2 linked regions of the Cricetulus griseus genome follow. The protein of the gene in region 1 purifies or fractionates together with the protein of each later gene. This does not show direct contact. Links are inferred from orthologs where the notes say so. Each region holds a gene or a part of one and is shown on either strand. Other genes may lie near its edges.

Evidence for each region. Proteins that work in one complex are often made in the same cells at the same time.
Region 2: the proteins of Srpk1 (region 1) and Drosha purify together in Homo sapiens (affinity purification with mass spectrometry; 3 studies listed by BioGRID and IntAct, counting the BioPlex papers as one, with this or other methods). This does not show direct contact. The link is inferred for Cricetulus griseus from reciprocal best matches to the Homo sapiens genes SRPK1 and DROSHA.

The regions. Positions count from the first base shown.
Region 1 is NW_023276806.1:233,694,650-233,702,362, reverse strand, and holds the end of Srpk1 (SRSF protein kinase 1), read left to right. Parts: intron 1-1,694; coding exon 1,695-1,787; intron 1,788-3,189; coding exon 3,190-3,374; 3' UTR 3,375-5,439; downstream 5,440-7,713. UniProt on the Homo sapiens protein: Serine/arginine-rich protein-specific kinase which specifically phosphorylates its substrates at serine residues located in regions rich in arginine/serine dipeptides, known as RS domains and is involved in the phosphorylation of SR splicing factors and the regulation of splicing.
Region 2 is NC_048595.1:345,853,829-345,861,541, forward strand, and holds part of Drosha (ribonuclease 3), read left to right. Parts: intron 1-778; coding exon 779-920; intron 921-2,170; coding exon 2,171-2,325; intron 2,326-5,126; coding exon 5,127-5,207; intron 5,208-7,713. UniProt on the Homo sapiens protein: Ribonuclease III double-stranded (ds) RNA-specific endoribonuclease that is involved in the initial step of microRNA (miRNA) biogenesis.

The sequences.
Region 1 (7,713 bases):
AGATGGTGTGAATGCAGCCTGCTGAGATTCCTAAGTACTGTATTGAAGGCGGCGGTCAGGGGCCTGCTTGTTCTGCTCAGTACAGGTAGGGTTTGTTTCCTATATACCACACACCTCGTGTTCTCTTAGAAGAGCAGCTCTCAACCTGTGGGTTTTGACCCCTTGGGGGATCTAATGACCCTTTCACATGGGTCATATCAGACACTTACGTTATGATTCATAACAGTAGCAAAAGTACGATTATGATGTAGCAAGGAAAATAATTTTATGCCTGGGTGGTGAGAGGGAGTGGTGGTGGTGCACACCTTTAATTCTGGCACTTGGGAATCAGAGGCAGGTAGAATTCTTGAGTTCCAGGACAGCCAAGGCTACAGATACCTTGTCTCAAAAAAGCATAGGTAGGCAGATAAAACGGTGGTGCCGATGGTTTTGTTGTTGGCGTCACTACTACATGAAGGATGTATTAAAGGACTGCAGCATTAGGAAGGTTGAGAACCACTATCTTTTTTTTTTTTTTTTTAACCACTAAATTTTTTAAAAATTTCTTTTATTTGTGTATGTTGGTATTTTGCCTGCATGTATATCTATCTGTATGAGGGTATCAAGTACCCTAGAAATACAGTTACAGACAATTGTGAGCTGCCATGTGGGTGCTGGGAATTGAACCCAGGTCCTCTAGAAGAGCAGCCAGTGCTCTTTTACTGCTGAGCCATCTCTCCAGCCCTGAGAACCACTGTCTTAGAAGTTCATAGCTGTAGGTTTATGGAGCTGTACAATGCTGTTATATCTCTTTTATATACTTTGTCTTCACCAGACTGTAGGAAGTGTGTGCTACAGAATACACAGGGTTTCTCTGTGTAGCTTTGGAGCCTATCCTGGCACTCACTCTGGAGACCAGGCTGGCCTGGAACTCACAGAGATCCGCCTGCCTCTGCCTCCGCCTCCCGAGTGCTGGGATTAAAGGCTAAAGGCGTGTGCCACCACCGCCCGACTGAAACGTCTGCTCTTGGAATTCCATCCCGCAGTCTGTACTCACAGTCAGGTCAGCCCTCAGCCATTGTGCTGTTGTTTGACTTTTCAGAGCTGTAGCTAATGTGTGTGTTGTTATTTAGCTATTGTGCTGGTCTGGGAATGCTGACATGCTTTTCCTCTGCTTGAGGAACCATTGGACTCAGGTTTCTGGCTGTAGATAAGCCTCCAAACTAAGAAAGCTTGCAGTTAGGCAAGCAGGACCCAAGGTCATTTGTGGTCTCCTCAATATCCCCTGGACACCTGGGTATTGTTCATTATCACTTGAACCCGCTAACCCTTGGAAAGCCTTGTTTACTGCTTCACCTTGATCCTGTTCGTCTTTCTTCTATCTCTGCCCACCTGGCGCATGCTGTAGCTGATAGGCAAGATTCCAAGGCCCTTTGGCCACAGTTGGAAATAATCAGAGGACTTCTCAGTCTCAGGCAGACACGCTCGGGGACACAACTTGAAGCAGGGCTTCTTGTACCAAGACTGATGGTGGTTGTCACCCAGGGCTGCCTGGAGAGGTGCTGAGGCGTCTGTCATTGGAATGGACCCTGCATTAGACAGATGAGGACAGGAAGGACGTATGCAAGGCCCTGACAGTGGCATGTGTGCTGTCTAGAGCCACATTTGTGACCCTGCTCTGTTTTCTCTGTCCCCTGAAATGTCTGCACATACAGATCACATCGCCTTGATCATAGAACTTCTGGGGAAGGTGCCTCGCAAGCTCATTGTGGCAGGGAAATATTCCAAGGAATTTTTCACCAAAAAAGGTAAAACAGATATGTTTGTTTCCAGTCATTGAAGGGTAAAAAAAGTGTCTGAAATGAGAACGTCCGTGTGTCTGGTCTGCAGAAAGGTGAGTGTGTGAGTGAGTGTAAGAGAGAGAGAGATTCCATGGATACCCAGTGTGCCTTAACAGTCGCTGAAAGCGGTATGGGGTCAGCACAGCCACACTGTTGGGTTTGATTTGGTTTTGAGTGGTGTCTCCCTATGTATTTCAGGTTGGGTTAGAGGTGCATGCCTCCACACCTACTTAAAAAACACACTGTGGGGTAGGGTGGTACTGGCCAGCCTGGTCTATAAAGAGAGTTCCAAGACAGCCAGAGATGTTACATAGAGAAGTTTTGTCTCCAAAAATTAAAAAAGAAACCACAATATGGGCCCAGAGGGGTGGCCCAGTACTTAAGCACATGTATGTCTAGTAACTGAAAGCCTCTTAGGACAAGGACAGTGCTCCCGCTCACCTTTGCATCCCGGGGTTCTCCACACAGACTAACAACACTTGAGTGTCATGTTTGTGCTGTTAGGAGTGTGGACATGATGTGCCCATTTCTCATCCCAGCCCCCAGTCTCCAGGGCAGGAGTTGTTCCAGGTCAGCCGAGGCTTCATCACAGGGACACATCTCCAACAAAACAAAGAATAAGGGGTACCACATTACTTGGAAGAGGTAGCTTGATAATGTCTTCACTTTGTAGACAGTGTCTAGTTCTCTGGCCTAGGGCAGTCCTCACCTCAGACTCGGGGCAGTCTTCTTCTGCCCAGCCTCCTCAGGCATGAACTTTGAGATGAGCTGAAGTGGAAAATGAACCTGGAAGGATCTGGAGATCTGCTCTGTTGTCTGTACCGTTTTTTAGCTGCTAACGAGTGCTGAGGAACCTGAGCAGGAGGCGTCCTTAGAAAAGTTGAAGCTCATTTGAGCTGGGAAAGTGCTCTTAAGGGACTCTCATGTGTGCAAAGTCAGTCACGGCATGGCCTTTGAAAAGGGCCCCCAATCTCATTGTGTGGATTGCGTTCTTAGTAGCATTTACCCAGGGAAGCTGTTAAGTGATGACCTCAGATTCCTTGCTTACGGCAGGGGCTAAGACCTGTAGATCTCAGCTGCCGGGGTTTTAAGGTACTTCCAGAAAGCATCTGAGAACTGTGGGTGCTGCTCGGTGGTGTGATCCAAGTACCATTTGTTGGAGGGAAAAGGTCAGTTCCAAGGAGCAATTCAACTCCTTGGTGCCACTGAAGCATTTTGTGTGTATCTGTCATGCTGTTGGCTTTTTGTTTGCAAACCGTCGCCTCATTTAAAAGCAGTGTTTGCTAGACCTAGCCAGTTGTTTATAAGGCGGTGCTGGAGCTCACCATGAGGCTTTGGACCGTGTGACCCTTGTACTGTGTCCCCACAGGTGACCTGAAACACATCACCAAGCTGAAGCCTTGGGGCCTTCTGGAGGTTTTGGTGGAGAAGTATGAGTGGCCTCAGGAGGAGGCTGCTGGCTTCACAGATTTCCTGCTGCCCATGCTGGAGCTCATCCCTGAGAAGAGGGCCACTGCTGCTGAGTGTCTCCGCCACCCTTGGCTCAATTCCTAAGCCCCTTCTGCTCAAGCTGCAACAGAGTTCATCAGGCTGACCCTCCGACCCTCCCCTCTGAGACTTTTCCCTCTTCCCTTTCAGGGTGAAGCTCTTTTCTTCCAGGGCTTCTAAATTTTTTTTTAATCCAACATGTTCATTTGGGTTTGCTTCCTTGACCCTGTGGAAATCGCCACAGCCGCTGGACATCCTAGGTGAATTTGGCCTTAGTTGGGCTCTGCCAAAGACTAAAAGTATGAACAGCCCCACCCTCTGCCCTGCCCTTTTCATTAGGTTGTCAACACCCTTTTTAAAGAGGGCTGTGAAGATCTGTGAGCCCCTCCTTTTATTCACCAACTCTAAGAGTCTGGTTTCTAATTCGTATCCCGCTGCCAGCATAAGGTTGAGGAGGGAGGGGTATGAATCTGTGAGCAGCAGCAGAGACATTAAAAGTGCTGTGTCCAGGCCATGTCATCTGCCTGGATTCTTTCTGTGTTCTCTATGTTCACGTTTTTTTTGTTTTTTTGGTTTTTTTTTTTCCTTCGACTTTGACGCTACATTTTTCGATGAGCAACAAATTTGGTTACCAATATCACTGTTGAAAGCACTGTCGGATTTCTGTCATACTCTCATTAACTAAGTTCCTGGAATTTTGATTCTGATTTTTAATTAGACAAAACAGAACCAGTGAATGATATTTCCCGAGAGCCTCAGGTGTTGTGCAAATAGCCGTCTCTGTGTGTCTTCTGTTGCCGTAAGAGCAGTTGCTGTGGTCCACACTTCTGGCTTGGAATGCCTCCTGGCATCTGGCTTGCTCAGTTTGTGTTTACTATCTCATAACTAGAACGCTGAGGTGATCCAGATGGGAGCTGTGCCCTTGGGGAGTGCTCCCGCATTCCAAGTCCTTCCCAGACAGCCCCTGGCGCCCGTTCACAGCTCCTCCTGCCTTGCCTGGAACCCTGGCCCTGATGCAGTTTCTCCACGTGGCTTTGCTGTCTTGTTTCTCAGAGACTCTGGGTCTTGAGTGAAGAGCCGAGGGGAGGGGATGGCACTTTTCTTTTCCCCCTGTTGGTTTTGATATTAGCCATCCTATGCTGCTATTTCCTTGTATAATGTCAGTTTCTAACTACAATTTTGAGATGATTGAAATGTACTTGAGGCTTTTCTTCTTAATGCAAAAAAGGCTTTGTGAGTTTTGTTTTTGGCTCAGCCTCTCATAAACTTGATTACCTAAACATTTCCTGTTCCTCAGGTGAAGTGGGCGTCAGGAAAGAGGCGGGATTAGCTGCTTGCTAATTTAGCAAGGACCAATGGGTCTTAATTACCACACTGTCTGGAAACAGCTCGGTTTCTAACTTGCAGAAAGCCTTGGGCCTGCAAGCCAAGGCTCTCCTAAGCAAGCTGAGCGAAACCAGCCACTGCCTCCTTCCTGTGTGTGAGCCTGGAGAAGAGTAGGCTCATGGAACTCATCAGCTTTGCCTGAGGAACTGGCCAGCCATTATTGGCTCTTGATTGGTTATTCCTGGAACCAGACGTGTTCCTGTAGAAAGAGTTTTTAAAAAGTCAGGCTATCTATGCACCTATCAGGAATAAAGAGAGCAGACGACATCACATAACGGCAGGGAAACCCTACATCAGTTCTACTCCACTGTGGGTGTCAACTGTACTGACATCTAAAGCAATAGCAGACCCACCTGAACTGCTTCTCACTAAGTCACGGTTGCAGGATTACGGGAATCCTAGTGACGTAACCAAGAAACAAGCCAACAGCAGGCCTGTTTTAATCATGAGGGGAGACCCTGGAACTTCATTTGGGAAATAAGTCCCACCAAATAAGGGCTTCCCCCTATTGCTTAAGGAGCCAGAGGACCTGGGAGAGCTGGAAGAGGCAGCAGTGGGAGCTGTCTGTCCATCCATGGCCTCCCTGAGCACGGTGGATGCCCTAGAGGCCAGGCCAGGTCTCCCTGGAGGACTGCTGTTGGCTCTTGGTTGAGAATAAAGCCCTGGTATGTTTTCTATTCTTTCTACTGAGTGCATTGTTTGTGTCCTCACAAATGCAGAACAATAAACAGAGTATTTAATAACCTGCTTGTCTCCAGAGGTTTCGTTTCTTTGCTGCCCAGTTAACTATGCAATAAAACAGAATGTAGGCACTCTCTTGGGTTTGAAATTTTGCTCCTAACTCTTAATTGTGGAATTGAGATGTATTTCAGAAAATTGTATTTATTACATTCAGGAGTGTATCTGGGGCGGTGATTCAGTGATTAGCACATAAACCCACCCCACCAAGAAAGCCAGGTGTGAAATTTGAAAATCAAAAGCATGATGACTTTAAGGGGATGGGAACAGGATCCCTAGAGCTGCAGGCTCAGTGAGACTATCCAGCAAAAAAGCTACAAAGGAAGGCACATAATGCCAGCCTGGCTGCCTCACAGGGGTGTGTGTGTGTGTGTGTGTGTGTGTGTGTGTGTGTGTGTGTGTGTGTGTGTGTGTGTGTGTGTGTGTGTGTACATTGGTTCTCGAGTAGCCTTTTCCCATCATATGAAGGGTTTTCACTGCCCCTCTTGAACTTAGCAAATGACATACACAGTACAACCGTTTTTGGTGGAGCCACTGGCAGGAGGGTCAGGTATACCTGCCTAATCCACTCCCTGTGGTAAGTTCCTAGTGATACCAGCAGCCAGTGGAAGTGATTTTGGAGGCCTCTGGTAATGGAACCAGAGAAGGGTCAGGCAGTTTATTGGGACAACCTGTTGAGCCCTTTGTGGTGTCTTAGTATTTGCTGTGCTGCAGTCAGGGCCCTGGCACTCGCTAGGCCAGTATTCTACCGCCATGCTTGTGTGGGCCACAGATCCAGAAATGGGCATATCCTGCCCTGATTACTTGGAGTACTGGTGAGATTGAAAACTTAACAGGTTTTGGCCGGACATTGGCACATGCCTTTAATCCAGCACTCAGGAGATGGAGACAGGTGGATCTCTGAGTTCGAAGCCAGCCTGGTCTACAGAGCAAGTGCCAGGACATGCTCTGAAACTACAGGATTTATTGGCCATTTATATGGGAGTTTTGTTTATTTTTTTTACTTTATGTGCATTGGTGTTTTTTTTGCCATGGGTATCAGGTCCCCTGAAACTGATACAGTTGTGAGGTGCTGGGAATTGAACCCAGGTCTTCTAGAAGTGAAGTCAGTGCTCTTAACCCCTGAGCTACTTCTCCAGCCCCACTTAAATGTCTTATTTCTTTAAACTCAGATTTCTTGGGGCGGGGGTGGGGAGGTAAGGGGAATTTCAATATGTATCTCTAGCTGTCCTGGAACTCACTGTGTAGACCAGTTTGGCTCCCAAGGGCTAGGATTAAAGACAGGTGCCACCACTCCTGGTCCTACTTAGGGTTCTTTTTTGGTGTGTGTGTGTGTGTGTATGTGTGTTCTCTGTGTAACAGCCCTAGCTGTTGTGGAACTCGCTCTGTAGACCAAGCTGGCTTTGAACTCACAGAGATCCACCTGCCTCTGCCTTCTAAGTGTTGCATAAAGGTTTGTACCACCATCATCCAGTTCTACTCCAGTTTGTTTTGAAGGGCTTTCCTAGTTTTTAAAAACCATTTGTGAGTGTGTGTGCTCATGCATGTGTGGGGGAGGAACACAACTTTAGGAGTTGGTTCTTGTACATTACTTCCACAATTGAACTCATCCTCAGGCTTTCAAGACAAGCCATCATGTCTACCCTAGAGTGCTTTCTTTTTACTATCATGGTTAGGACTTGTTTTATATATTAAAGTTAATGAAATTTTGTTGTTTGCTCCATGTAGTTGCCCAGGTTTTAATTTGCCTTTCCCCTTATATTTATGGCATTTTTAGTCATAAAAAGTCCTTTTTCAGGTACCCATGAACTACATAGTGTTTTGAGTTATTTTGTTGTGCTGTAGGCGGGCATAGCAACGCACACCTATCATTCCAGGACTCAGGAAACTGCGGCAGGAGGATTACTACAAATTTGATGCTAGCCTAGAAGGCTGTTGTGTTCTGTCTAGAAAGAGACCTGTGAGATGCAACAAACCAATAAATTACCAGACTGGTCAGCCATTGGTCTCCTGCCAAGCCTCTTAAGTGTAGAGCTTGGAAATCCAGGGTTTGGGGGCAAGCATCTTGCCACATCAGAACAAGTTTTCACAGAAACTCCCATTGGCTAATGGAACCCAACCCAGCCTATCAGATTTGTCTACTGCTTAGAGCTTTTGTTTTCTGTTCTTTAGGGTTTTTGTTTGTTGGATTGGTTTGGTTTGTTCAGTTGTTTTTGGAGACAGAGTTTCTCTGTTGTAGCCCTGGCTGTCCCAGAACTCACTCTGTAGACCAGGCTGGCCT
Region 2 (7,713 bases), on another chromosome or scaffold:
TACCTGCCAAGCCCTCTTGCTGGTCCTGAAACACATCTACTGAATAGGTATTGCTTTTGGACTGCCAGTTGCTTCTGTCAGTGGGGAACCTGGAAGATTGCCCTGTCTGTGTAAGAAAAGACTTGAGAATCCATGATAGTGGAATGATATGTGATAAGTTGGAGCAAGCTTTTAAGCCATATAGTTCATGTTATGTAGCAAAGGGAAAGTGCACATGTGGAGCACTTCATGGTGCTGACATTTTATTCCAGGTTTCTAATGTTGTCCTAATTAATTGTCACAATGTCTGTGGTAGGATGTCAGTGTTCTGTTAGTGAGGCTTGCTGCCATAAGAAAATACTGCTACTTGAGTGAGTAGGTTCAGTTTTCTTACTAGGTGTCCAGAAGGAAGACATTTGGTAACCACACCTTAGACTAAATCTCTCATTATCTGGCCTTGAGAGTTAATAGTAACCACACCTCAGACCAAGTCTTTGGTTATTTAGATAAGACATCCATGCCTAAGACCAGACAGCCTACAGTAGCCACGTCTTAGACCTTTAGGTGTTATTTTAACCTTGGAAGAGTAAGGATAGTTTTGAACTCTCTGACTTTAAGCCAAGATGAAGTGAAGCCACTTTAGTATGTGTTTGGCTCAGAGTCTCACTACCAGTGTGTGGCATTTTCCTTTTCAGATATTGATTGCATTGGGACTTTAAAAATGGCATCTTGTAGTTAATGGTTTTTAGCATAGTGATTATTAAATGGTTTCTCATTACTGCTCCTTTACTTTGAAAAGGGAGATTCTACTGTTGTTGGAACAAGTAGGCTCCGTGACTTATATGACAAATTTGAGGAAGAGTTGGGGAACAGGCAAGAGAAGGCCAAAGCTGCTCGGCCTCCATGGGAGCCTCCGAAGACAAAACTAGATGAAGATTTAGGTGAGTGGAGGAGCCTGTGTCTGCTCCTTTATTACTGCTTGATGCTGGGGAAATAACCTTCAGAGTCCCAGCTTGAAACATTTTCTTTTTCCTTTTATTTTTCTTAGCTACAGTCAGCAAATATGTGGTCCTATTTTCTCAGTCACGCTCCAGAATATGTAAGATCTCATTTTCTAGGTTGGGCTAACAAGTGTATCTTTTGCAGAGCTGTCTAGCTTTATAACCAGAAAGTATTGTGTTCCAGCATCCTTCTAAAAGCAGGACCTGTGCCTGCAACCTTAAAACAGGCAGGTGGTACTTGTTGGCTCTTCCATTGCTCAGTGCTCCTTGTTTGATGAGGAAGCATCAGCCCTGTGTGAAGGCCTCTACCTACTCACATAAATGTCTGTTTTTAAGTGTCAGTTCTGAGTTCAGTTTGAAGTAGCCGGTAAGATTCTCCACTTGGTCTAGTGTTTTGAGGTAGGTTCTCATTCTGTAGTCTTGGTAGCCCTAAATTTAATCTCTTGCCCAAGCCAGACTTAAACTCATGGTGGTCCTCCTGCTTCAGCTTCTGGAGTGCTAGAATTACAGGCTACACTGTGTGCTGATGGTATTACCTTTGAGGATAGAAATGTTTTTTGCCACTCTGTGTCCTTAGCCCCTAACAGAATGCCATGCTCAGATGTTACTGCACTTGATCTTGGCCGGAAGGTGGAAGTGTTCCCGAGACATTCCATATGCCCAGATTAATTTTGTCTCATGTCATACAGTAGTGGCAAAATGATAGACTCAGAAACCAATGACCTGGCTCAGGATCCCTGTTTTCCAATCCTGTCTCCATGCCCTGACTACACGGCCCCTCTTCATCCCTTCTCTCCCTTCCATCAGTCTCCTTTCCAGGGCCTGAGTCACAAATGCCCCTTCTGGGAAATTGCCACTGACCTTTCTGGCTTTTAGAGGACTAACTATTGAATAGTGTGAAATCACTATTGTGTTATTTTTATTTGATATTGGTCATTATTCTCATTTTCTTTATAGAAATCTGTATTTTCATTCTTTCCTCAGCTAGATTATGACTTAGCATTACAAACTGTCTGGTTTTCATGGCATTGCTTGGCAGTGTTTGGTGTCGAGTAGCCCCTCAAAAATTTTCTAGATCTCAGCTGCTCCTTACCTTTGAGGTTTAGGACACTTGGAAGTCTTTCAGAACCTTTTGTTAAGTTCATGAACTTCTGCTATGTTTTCTCCTGCTTTCTCCTGCCTTCTGCTAGAGAGTTCCAGTGAATCTGAATGTGAGTCCGACGAGGAGAGCACCTGCTCAAGCAGCTCAGACTCCGAGGTGTTTGATGTCATCGCAGAGATTAAACGCAAAAAGGCCCACCCTGACCGGCTGCATGATGAACTCTGGTACAACGACCCAGGCCAGGTTCGAGTGTTTTTATGCTTTCGCTATATGAAGGTTGCAAACCCACACATCACATTTACGACTCAGGGCTGAGAAGATGCATGTTGGCTGGTATAAAAATGGACCTTTACTCCCGGGGCTTGTGTGTCATTTTTCAGAGCTATTTCCTTTCGGCTTCAGAGTTCAGCTGCAAAGTGTGAGCACAGAACAGCTGTTCCTTGAATCATGTTGATGGTGTTTGTGAGTTGTGTGTTGGGAGCAGGCTGGTAGTGCTGTTAATTAAACCTGCAGTAGGAGGAAGAAGAGGAATGGCAGGACGAGGGAGAACTTGTGGGTCTTTGTAAAGCAGTTCACCTGGAAGGGATCTTGCTGCTAAATAGTGAACTGACTCACTCTGTGCAGTATCACTTGTTTTAGTTGGTAACAGGTCATGAAGTTTTGTAAATTTGCTCCTTCGTTAAGCATGTGAGCTAATAATGACTTAACAGCCGAAACATTTAAAGTAATATTTGATAAAAACAATGTCTATACGTGTATATTTATTGTTATTGAGACAGGATCTCACTATGCAGTTTTGGCTTACCACTTGAGTGATGGGTTACAGGTCTGTGCCACAGGGCTTGGCTCTAAAAAAAACGGTATCTTTATAGCAGATTTGTATATTACAAATGCACAGTCCATACAAAAATGTGTCTTTTATGAATGTGAATTTGTTACACATAGTAAGACCTGTCCCTACTTGCTCTGCATGATAATTTACCAGTTACAGTTTGTGAATAAGTTTATGCCATTCAGTATTAATTAGAATTTTCTTCTGATTCTTGTCAGGTAACAGCCATTTTAAAGGCTTTTTAAATTTTTTTTTTTTTCACTGAAACAGCCCTTTTATTTTGATTTATGTTAAGTGTTAAGTGTTAAGTGTTAAGATATGCATTGTGCCTGCATATCTCTTTGTGCAACATGTGTGTTCCTTGTGCTCACAGAGCCCTGCCATTCCTAAGGTGCTGTTACATTTTCCTTTCTGTTCAGAAGGAGGAGTTGCATTTGATAGGATAGAATTTACTAGAAGCTGTAATCCCTTGTTGTTTTTCAGAACTGTACACCATTACTACAATATAATTTTAGAACTTTTTTTTTTTTTTTTCCCTAAAAGAAAGCTTTCTGCATACCTGCTCTTTTTCACTGGTGGTTGTTCTCAGTCAGGTAGTATCTATCAGCCTTGCTTTATGTATGTTACTGTCCTGTTCAGCCTCCTAGGGCCCTTTATTCTGTTGATTGTACTTGGTTTCCTGTTCTCAGTGTATTTGAGCCTTGTGAAGGGGTCCATGTGGGAGCGTAGACCCTGGTGGAAGGCAAGAATGGAGGCTGTTTGTCTGCTGCCCTGGAGCTCGCACTGGCACTAGGAGTGTGTTGTGACCATTGATGGAAAGTTAGAAAGCCTCTCACTTGTCAGCTGTTACTTCAGATAATATCCCAGCACTGGTTTTTTGATAGTGATGCTATTTTTCTGCTGTACCTCCAGGAGCTTTATATTTCCCAAGAGACTAAAAAGAGTTTGGCTTTACTATTTCTTGTCAAAGTCTTATTGAGATAGTTTCATTTATATTTTAATTGAATACAATGAATTATAAATCCCTAGAACTTCAAAAACAACAACAACAGCTATCAATATGTAGTCACCCTTCGGTATCTATGTTAGATTTTGATTCCAGGGTCTGCACAGACACTAAAATCCACAGATGTAGTCTTTTATGAATATAGTGTAGTATTTACATATAAGTGACACACACCTCTTTTCTGCTTTAAATATTTAGATAAATGTGTGCCTGCATGTGCACAGTGGATAGAACACAAGCACAAATGTAATCCTCAGTATGTGTGTAAATAAGTGTGTGCTGTGCGTGTGCATGGAGGTGAGAACACAAGCAAGGGTGTAATCCTCAGGGACCTTCCACCTATTGTTTGAAGCAGAGTTTCTCATCGGCCAGGAACTTCACCTGTCTGGCCTAGCTAGCTGGTGTGTGAGTATTCAGGGAGGGACCTTGCCGTTGCTAGAGTTCCAGGCATGTGGTATGTGTGGAATACTCATCTTTTTTTTCTGTGCTGCTCAGCACTTCGTTTCTTCTCTTTAAACCTTGCCTAACTGACCACAGCAGCTCCAGAACTATGTCCATTTAGACAGAGTTTCTTTTTCTTCCCAAATCTAAGTGTACTACTCTGCTACTTATCCTCTTTTGCTTGGTACTTACTGTCCTGAGAGGTGTTCAACATTTTTCACGTACAGAGTCAAGTGAAACAAGGTGGAAGAGGGTATATTTTAAGCTGTCTAGCATTCAAAGTTTTTTTTTTTTTTTTTTTTTTTTTTATTCTACTGGACACCCCCACCCCCGTGCTTCATACATATTTTAGTTTTTAGAACATTTAATCTGCAGGCCACCTTCAAAGCAGCCTGTGTGTACCTTTAGGATATGACGTACATTTGCCTCTCTGTGTGTAGAGTCATTTTCCCTGAAATAAGAAAAAGGATAGTGCTGCAGACTGTGAGGGTGAACAGCGTACTGACACTGATATTTCCTGCCTGGCTGCACAAATAACTTGGGATTCCAGTGTTGTCATATGGTTTCCCTTTATCATATATTACAGACAGTTTGCACCTTTATTAGTTTTGGAACATCCGTTTCATCTTCCAACCATGACAGCCTCTTCAGGGCCTCAGTACTCATGACATTAAACCTCACAGTTTCTGAGGCATCATTGTGCCTCCCTCGTGTGGATTTCCCCCCACCCCACAATAAAACTGAATTGCTTTCTGTTTCTGACAGATGAATGATGGGCCACTTTGCAAATGCAGCGCCAAAGCCAGACGCACAGGAATTCGGCACAGCATCTATCCTGGAGAAGAGGTAATTGGCTTGGGTTATGATTTGTGCAAGCACCAAGGAGTCCCAAGTAGACAGATGCCATTGTTATTCTTTTCCCATTAAATGAAATAATGTCGTCCAAGTAATCTTCTCATGTTCCCTGTTAGAGGCTCTGTTACTGACAGTTATAGAGGGAAGATATTTGGGCTTTGAGTACACTACAGACTGTTGTCAAGGAAACTAAAAAGAGGTTGGAAGGTTCATGTATGTCATCTGTGTTGTTATTAAGTGTTCTGGAACTGGACACACTAGCATTAGTGTCCTGTTTCCATCGGTGGTTATGAATGTTTTTATTCAAGTCATGTTCTCCTCCCCTGGGGACCTGCAGGTGCTTCATCTTCACTGCAGTACTTGTCAGGATCCTTGTCTCTACCAACTGTTGAGTTCCCATTGACAATATAGTCCAGCCTTGGCTTCTCAGGAACCCTAAGCTTGACTGAAGGGAGAGAACACATTTCCTATGTAGCCACTTGTAACTACTCTCTTGATTAGTTTGCTATGGTTTTTTTTTTTTTTTTTTTTTTTCTCCTCACTGTCTTTCAGTTTCATAAGTTATTTTCATTAAGCCCAGGATTACCATTTTATGATTCAACACATTTTACCTACACATAGAATATGTAAGTTCTTAATTTCTATTTAAAACTAGCTTGAGACTCTAATAAAGCTATAAGACCACCTGATTATTTATTTAGTTATGTTCTGAGGTCAGTGAGTGTAGTGAGGAGTTTGGCAGGGTTTCATCTGTGAGCATCTGTCCCTGTGCCTCAGGTAGGGTGTTCTGACTTGCTGCTGGGGATCAGTGTCTGAGAAGAGGAGTCCGGGCAAGAGTAGAGGGGGATGGTTCATTTGCTCTGTGGGCCTGACCAAGCCATCTTGACAGAATTTCCTTTTGTTTGGCTGGAATGGCCTTTATACCATCATATGCTCTCATCTCCAGAGCAGCCCTTTCAGGAGGCACAGGAGAGGAGGCTTTGTAGCTGGGGGTGACCAACAGCTGCAACCTGCATGCCGACTGCATTCCCTATAGCTAGGCAACAGGCTTTTCTGGGATGGGAGTCTGAGTGGGCTGTGGTATCAGCTGTATGCTTTGGGCTATATTCTACTTGTACAGATAGAAGGGGCCTAGGCAATCAACTTGCTAATGATAGGAGGTTGTTCTCAAGGAGTGGGGCCAGTTGTACCTGGCCATTTGGATAGATGGTCACTAGCATAAGGTTAGCTTAGCTGGCTTCTTTCTTGTTAAGTGAGGCCTGTGCTGTTGGGGTCATGCAAAGCCTCCTCTCGTTACTGTGGTCACTTCACTCATGTGCCCACCCTGTCATCTCCAAGGTGATGTGGGGACAGACATGACTGCTCTAGTCATTTTGTTTGTTTGGTGCCATAATAGCTGCTCTGATGGTCACCATACTGATGTAAAGTCATTAAGTCCCTCCCACCAACCCAGTTCCAAGTCTCTCCCAATACCTTTTCATTCTTGATCCTTTGGTCTTTTACCTTGTGGGCATCTTCAGGCTACTTCCTTTTCCATTTAGAGTACCTGTTCAGGAACGCTGTTGGAACTGTTTACTGGAGAGCTTTCTCCCTCATTGGTGTCTTTCAAAGTTATCCCAGAACAAGTCTGAGATGCAGTTTTTCTTTTGCATACACATTCTAAATTAACCTGATTGTAAACCAGGCCTGAGCTTTTTACTCCACCTTCACCATTGCATCATTACTCACCAGCTGAGAAGAGAGGATGGCTGATGCTACAGTGTTGAAGCCAGTAGGGATCTGGGCCATCTGCCAGACAGCTTGTCTGACCCTTGATCCTATTGTGTGTTTGATTCTGAATGTGCCACCCTCCTTTGGGATGGGTTGTTGCCTGTGCCACTCAGCCTAATTGCTTGTTGGGATTGACAGAATCCATGTTTATGACAGGCAGGTCTGGACACATATTGATTGGTGTCGTCCTAAAGCCAGGCCTTCCATACTAATCAGGTACACTCCACTTATACCACCACCGCCTGCATACCCCCAAGGCATGTAATTCTTTGCTTCAGATGACCTGGCCTGGGTCCAGGGGCCAGCATTATGATTCTCCAGTGTGGTCTGCCATGAATTCCTTTTGGCACCTTTTCCTGACCCTGCTGTGGGATCTGCTGAATTGTTGGTCATGGCAGCAGGAGTGTTTGTCTATGCCTAGACTTGCTAAGGTATCTTACTGGGGCCCTAGTTGATCTGTAGCATTTTGAGCCACTGTGTAACTGGCCAGAGCACTCTTGGTGGGTGTGGGTTTTGGCTGTCCTGTGAACCTGTAGAGAAGGTTCAGATGTTATGCGTCTTTCTTCATTGTAGGAAGTGGATGGTAGAATAATGTATCTTTTACTTTGGAGCTGATGTCTTGGTGGTCTATAAATGACTGGACTCACTTAACAGTGTTGACTGTGGTAGGTTCTTGAACCTTTGTGGGGTTTTTCTCTGATCCTCTGTAGTACATATGTCTTTATTA